Regions from separate parts of the Mus musculus genome. Here region 2 is reported to be linked to region 1. The links are microRNA targets in miRTarBase. Many come from high-throughput screens and were not tested one by one. Region 1 holds a microRNA gene; the other region holds the end of a gene's coding sequence.

Region 1 (3,402 bases):
TGAGACCCTGTATTGCCCCACCAAAACCTGCCACAGTACACATGTATATTTTATTGATCAAATAGTCCCAAATATGGTCATGGTAGCCTCTTCAGCTGGTTTCTATGTCCTTTTTGATGAGTATCACTTTTTTAAAGAGTTGTTATTAGTGTGTGAGATGTATGTGTGGGGTGGGGTTAGATGCACACGTGGGGGTCAGAGGAGAACTCTGGAGTCATTCTCTCCTGTCAGGCAAGCTCTTTGCCTGTGGAGCCATCTTGCCAGCTCTCTCATCTGACATTTCTTTCGTTATGGTATCAGATGACCCAGGCTTATCTTGTATGTCTTATCCCAGACCCAGAATCAGCCACTTCTTTAAGGAGCTCTGGACACTGTTCGGGTAACGTAGTCTTTGCAAACAAAGATCTGGGTATGAGGTGTGCTCTGTCTTCTTGGGATAGCATAGTCTTCTCTGTGGATGAGAGTTAAGGAAGAGTTATGCATGCACATGCCCCCCCCCCCCCGTGTGTGTGTGTGTATGTATGTGTGTATGTGTGTGTATGTGTGTGTGTATGTATGTGTGTGTGTGTGTATGTGTGTGTGTGTGTGTATGTGTGTGTGTGTCCATCTACACTGATCGTGTGACCTTTGATTCTACAGTACCATTGACTCTGGGGTGTTTGTCCTCTTTTAGTTATGAAACAGTCTCTTTCCATCTTGTAAGACTTCTCAGGGTTGAAGAGATGGCTCAGCCATTAGGTGCATTTTTGTTCTTGCAGAGGACCTGGGTTCGATTCCCAGCACCAAAGGTGGTTCATAACCATCCATAACTCTAGTTCAGGGTATCCAATGCCTTGTTCTGACCTCTATAGACACCAAGCCTGCATGTTATACACACACTACATGTAGAAAAAACACAAAAAAATGAATAAATCTAATAAAAGAAAAAATTCAAAGACTTCTCTTTCTGGTAGTAATATTGCTTATATTGTCCTTAATGTGTTTACGTACCTGATTACTCCACTGTATGTCACCCATTTTCCTGACAATGTCCCTCAACACAGTCATAGAGCATTTTACAGAATACCTTACCTGCACAGGGGTTTATATGCAGCATCTGTTTCCTTCCTTCCTCTGGATCGTCTAACTGGTGTGAGCCACATTTCTCCTGACCTGATTTGAATTTCTCGTTAGTCTTTACTAAGCAGGACATCACTAACACAGTGTCTAGTTTATGGATACCATGCACCATGGCCGCCTTAGCTTGGGAGTTTGCTATCCTGAGGCAGAGCAGCTCTAGACTCTCAACCCTTTCAAATTCCTGGCTTTCCTATTGGTTCAGACTAAATCACAGCCTCCAATGTTACTCAGTTTCCCTCCAAGGCACGCAAGAGAAGGAAGAAATACTGAACTGAATGTATTTATGTATTTAATACATTCCTTGGAAAAGGGGGGCCCTATAGATAGTGTAAGGTTCATTGAAAGTGCAGCATTTGATGCTTTCTGCGCAGGATACAGGGCAGACATTGAGATTCACAGCAGGCAGTCCTAGGTGCTGGAGAGAATCTGGTCATAACTGAAGGAAATAAATGAGAGCCTTTGGATGGGGAACTGCAGAAAAGTGACCCTCAGGCCCCAAGTAGGAAGCCAAGCATCACTTATCCTGCGCTCTCAGGACTGCCCCAGCCTCCATGTCCTGTCCAATCTTTCAAAATTGCAACACTGTTACACTATGTTGCCACCCACAACATTCAAGGCTAAATACTACAGAGAATTTAGCCCCCACCCCCCACCCCAGGCTAACGCCTTCCCCTTCCTCCAGCTTATCTTATTTCACGTTTATGGCTTTTGTCTTGTGCTGCACTCCTAACTGTGCTCAGCACACGCAGCCAGCCTCAGGGCCCAGGTTCAACATGCCTGACTGAATGGATGAAGGAGTCTTAGGTTCAAGATCTGCTATACAACCCACTCCCCTTCTGCCCTAGCCTTTCCAAAGTGCCTTGCCGTGTGTCAAATCCCTCAGGGGCCACCAGGCAGGCTCTGCTGCAGACCTGCGTCCCTCCGGCTGCAACACAAGACACGAGGGGTCAGAGCAGCGCCCGGGTCCTGTGTTGTAGCCTGAGGACCCGCATTGTATCCTGTGAGCCCAGGGAGCCTGCCCAGCATGGCTCCTCCTCTGGGTGGGCTACTGGCTTCTGCTTGGGGAGTCCCATCTGCTGTGTACCCAGTGAGGAAGCTATAGAACAGAGAGTAGCATGGTTAGTGGGTCCTGGGACTGGCACTGTGCTGCCCCCTAGGGGAAAACCCAGTGGTGGAAATGAGGCTGACCTTGCATGGTGAAGAAACCCCGCCTAGGCCACAAGCCTGGTGCTGATGTTGAGAGACAGAGGCTATGTGCACGCCCATGACCATGTCCTTCCTCCTCTAAACAGCAAATTATGGCTGTGTATAAGCCACTAATTATAGTTTAGTACAATGACACCTCCTAGGAAGTGGCTCTCACTCTAACACCACGATGAGAATTTTATAAATGCCAGGCTGATACAATGAATTGCCCTGGATTATAAATATCTTGACTGGGAGAATGGCAGAAAACACAACATTATTGCTACCCACTTGCACCAGGCCTATGGAGAATTTATTGTTTGTTTATGGCTTATTTTTATTCAAAAGCTCATGTATAACATTTTTGTGTGGACTCTTTTTGGTGAGTCATTCAGTGCTTTCTTATAAAATTCAAATGAAGTTGGTCTAAAATCAAGACAATGTCCTAATGTCAGTTCCTCCAAAGTGACATGTTGATATTTTTTCTCCAGACTCACTGTCGGGTAAACTCTTTGCAGAAAAGCCCATGGGCTTCAGGACTGAGGAGTGAACAGCAGTATTCCCCTCCCTCCCTCCCTCCCTCCCTCCCTCCCTCCCTCCCTCCCTCCCTCATTCCCTCATTCCCTCCCTCCCTCCCTCATTCCCTCATTCCCTCCCTCCCTCCCTCATTCCCTCCCTCCCTCCTTCATTCCCCCTCCCTCCCTCCCTCTCCCTCCCTCCCTCTCCCTCCCTCCCTCCCTCCCTCCCTCCCTCCCTCCCTCTTCTCTTCCCTCTTCCTTTCCTTCCTGCTCCCCCTCCCCCTCCTTTTTCTCTGTCTCTCTTTCTCCCTCATCTGTCCTCCTTTCCCCTCCCTCTGTCAATCTTCAGTGTTTCCTAGCCAGTCTCTACCCGCCCCACCCCCCCCCAAAGGCTCACACAATCAGCCTCTTGGGTAGCTGGGACCAAACCACACCACTGGGTCCAGCTCTCACTGGCTTGTGTCTTCAGTAACGCGACATGGCTTTTGGTTCCAGCAGAAGGCAGGAGACTCTGGGGACAGATTAGAGGTCAAGCTTCAGTGCAGAACTTAAGTGTCACACGTTTTTCTACCAATGAAGG
Region 2 (3,402 bases), not on the chromosome of region 1:
GTGAAACTCCCATCTCAACAAAAAAGAAGAAAATCAAGCAGCTAAGGACACATGTGGCATGTGCCTGTCACCTGACCCCTCTGATGTTGTCACCATTACCTCTGTCTCCCTAGATCCCAAGACCAAAGCCTGGCTGAGGAAACATGTGGACCCTGTGTTTGGCTTTCCCCAGTTTGTACGGTTCAGTTGGAGCACAGCCCAGGCCATCCTGGAGAAGGAGGCAGAAGATGTCATTTGGTTTGTGTCCTGAGAGTGGCTGAGGGAACAGACCAGGGGAAGGGAGGCCATGCGTTCACTCAGCCCGATGGGAAGTGGCCAGTCATCCCTCTCTCCCACAGGGAGGACTCAGAAGCTGAGGAGGATCCTGAAAGACCGGGAAAAATCACCTCCTACTTCAGCCAGGGCCCGCAGACCTGCCGCCCTCAGGCCCCCCACAGATACTTCCAGGAGCGAGGCCTGGAGGCAGCCAGCAGCCTCTAGGAGCCCACGTGTGCACCACCTGCCCTTCTAACCCAGGAATAAAAGCTGTTCAAGAAGTGGACCGAGTGCTTTGTGGCTAAGGTCTGGTAGCAGTGCCTGTGGCCAGCAGCTGATTCATCAAACAAAATAGGCATTTCTAGATTGGTGACGTTTGCTTTTTTTTTAAAGAATGATTTATGTATGTAAGTACACTGTAGCTGTCTTCAGACACGGCAGAAGAGGGCATCAGATCCCATTATAGATGGTTGTGAGCCACCATGTGGTATCACTGGATAGCTCAATGCTGGAACTGTGTAGACCAGGTTGGTCTTGGGCACATTGTGGCACTCACCTGCCTCTGCCTCCCAAGTGCTGAGGTTAAAGACATGCACTATCATAGCCTTTTTATTTTTTTTAATTGTAAAACTATTTTTGTCTTTGTGTGGGTATACACACATGTGAGTATGCACGTGTAAATGCAAGGGCCCTTGGAGGTCGTAGGCTTCAGATTTCTCTGGAGCTGGACTTAGAGAAATTACGGCCTGCTCTGTTGGTGCTGATCTGAACTATGTGCTTTTGACCACTGGCTTTCTCCATCCCGCATATTTTTCTTTGGTGCTCCCTCTTTGCTTTGTCTTGTTTTGAGACAGGGTTCCTAAGTAGTCTTGACTGTCCTGGAACTTGCTACGTAGACCAGACAGGCCTGAGACACAGCTGCAGACTTGGAATTAAAGGAGTTGTATGTATATTTGTGCAACACATCCATGCAGTTCTCAAAGAAGCCAGAAGAGGGCACCAGATCCCCTGCAACTGGAGTTGGAGGTGTTTTTGAGCCACCTTGTGGGTCTTGAGAATCAGGTCCTCTGCAAGAACAGTCATTGTTGCTGTCAACCAGGGAGCCATCTTTCCAGTCCTCTGCCTCCTCTCCTCTTCCTTCTGTGTGTGTGTGTGTGTGTGTGTGTGTGTGTGTGTGTGTGTGTGTTTGCGTGCATGCGCTGTTGTGGTATTGCATACCTTTAATCCCAGCATTTGGAGGACAGGTAGGTAGATCTCTGAGTTAGAGGCCATTCTGGTCTACATAGTTCCACATCAGTCAAGGCTACATGATGAGGCCCTGATCAATAAATCAAAGCCACAAACTATGTTATCTATTTATTTATTTTGGGGGTGGGGGCACAAGTGTCAGGGCAAACCTGGAGGACAGAGGCCATCTTGTTGGAGTTGTTTCTTTTGCTACCATGTGAGTTCTGGGAATAGAATGTAGATCATCAGGGTCGGCCTGTGTACCGCGTTGCTAGTCTCCATTCTTCCCTAAGACTATCATTGTTGCCAAGTTCTCCCCAGGTGTTTTCCCAAGCAGCAGCCATGTCGTATGGCATGGTCTAGGCTGGCAACTTTATTTTGGGGAAGCAAAATAAGTGAGGGTTAGATCATTTCTAGGAAAACAGGTGGGAGGGCCTGGTTTAGGAAGGAAGGAGAGAGGAAGAGAGGGAGATGACTCTGGGTGGCTCCTGGCCTAGGGAAGGGACACGTATTGAAAGCCAAACATTGGCTCGGGGCTGTCGCCGCTGCCGCTGCCACTACCACTGCCTACAACATTTGAAATCCAGGCACGAGGGCGGCGGCGCGCTCCTGGAGAGGAGATGGAGACGTTGAGGCAGTGACTGGAACCTGGAGCTGCTACCCGCAGGACATGACCCAAAACAGAGTGACACAGATCTGTGGCGTTGGCGAAGGTCTAGGAGAAAGGGTGGTGGTCAGGGTTCGAGGAGGTGGAACCTGAGTCTCTGGGCTGGGTCTTCTGGACTAGGTATGGCCTGAGCGGTGGGAGGGTATGGGCATTCCTTTGAGGGGCCAGTCAGTCTGTCAGAGCCAGGGGAGGAGCCTAGAACTGATCGCAAAGAGTTGATAGGAGAGTCAAGAATCAGCGGACTACCCACACCAAGGCTGAGAATGTGGAAGAGTACAGCAAGAACCTATGAACTAGGTACATTAAGATAGTGTTGGGTACTTAGGAAGAGAAATGGTTCAGCCGGTAAAAGCACCAGCAGCTGCTGCAGAGGACCTAGGCTAGATTCCCAGCACCCACATGGTAATTCACAAACCTAATTTTAGTTGTAGGGGAGTCTATAACCTCCTGACCTCTTACAGGCACATAGGTGGTTCACATACAGGCAGGCAAAACACAGAATAAGAATAAATCCTTAAAAAATAAAGATTAGCCCACCCCTTTAAAAGGATTAATCTCAGCACTGGGGAGACAGTGCTAGACGATTGTTAAGAATTCAAAGTCACCGGGAAGTGGTGGCACACGCCTTTCATCCTAGCACTTGGGAGGCAGAGGCAAGTGGATTTCTGAGTTCGAGGCCAGCCTGGCCTACAGAGTGAGTTCCAGGACAGCCAGGGCTACACAGAAAAACCCTGTCTTGAAAAACAAACAAACAAAAAGGGTTCAAGGTCAGCCAGGTGAACATGCTAAGTTTCAGGATAGCAAGAGCTACATGGAGAGTCCCTATATAAAAAAAGTAACTGATTAATTAAAATTAAATTATATCAAGAACCCAGACTGTATTGCATGTCAGTAATCCAGACCATATTACAAAGCCCATTTCCGCCTCCAACCCTCTGTTCCTCACTCACCTGCCCATAGGTGCGGCAGCTGGGCTCACAGCCTCTCTCTCCAGAGGACTGCAGCCAAGTCGGGCCACAAATAAAATCTGCTTGGCAGGTGGTGAACCTGGCCATGAGAAGGGAAGACGGGTTTAAGGCTTTGGAGACAATGGGCTTCTAATGTCCCTCCCTCAGACCAAGGCCTCTTCTCAGGCCCCAATCCCTCAGACACCCAGAGTTTGCAGAGTTTCCTTCTGGGACTTATTGTGTTGTTTGTTTTTTGTGAGACAAGGGTCTGAAGTTAGTCTAGAAGTTATTTTGTGTCTAAGGAGT

What was found. Region 1 holds the annotated microRNA mmu-miR-187-3p (UCGUGUCUUGUGUUGCAGCCGG, at 2,041-2,062, opposite strand). A microRNA usually pairs through its seed, bases 2 to 8, with sites in the 3' UTR of a target mRNA and lowers its output. Matches are read on the target gene's strand: a 7mer-m8 pairs with bases 2 to 8, a 7mer-A1 pairs with bases 2 to 7 and ends in A, and an 8mer does both.
Region 2: the mRNA of Rnaseh2a is a reported target of mmu-miR-187-3p. Seed matches in the 3' UTR shown: 7mer-m8 at 686-692.

What each region holds. Positions count from the first base shown.
Region 1 is chr18:24,427,070-24,430,471 of GRCm38, forward strand. It overlaps Mir187 (microRNA 187), which reads right to left and starts at 2,101; the gene lies at 2,041-2,101. It overlaps Gm32547 (a long non-coding RNA gene), which reads right to left. Exons shown (of 3, transcript XR_877231.2): 2 at 3,220-3,402; 3 at 1-1,555.
Region 2 is chr8:84,954,801-84,958,202 of GRCm38, reverse strand. Rnaseh2a (ribonuclease H2, large subunit) reads left to right here. Exons shown (of 8, transcript NM_027187.4): 7 at 114-237; 8 at 339-1,593. The coding sequence ends at 480. It overlaps Rtbdn (retbindin), which reads right to left. Exons shown (of 7, transcript NM_001357326.1): 6 at 3,100-3,196; 7 at 1,597-2,197. The coding sequence ends at 1,976. Among named protein-coding and RNA genes, the nearest start is that of Rtbdn, 9.5 kb to the right of the region's middle.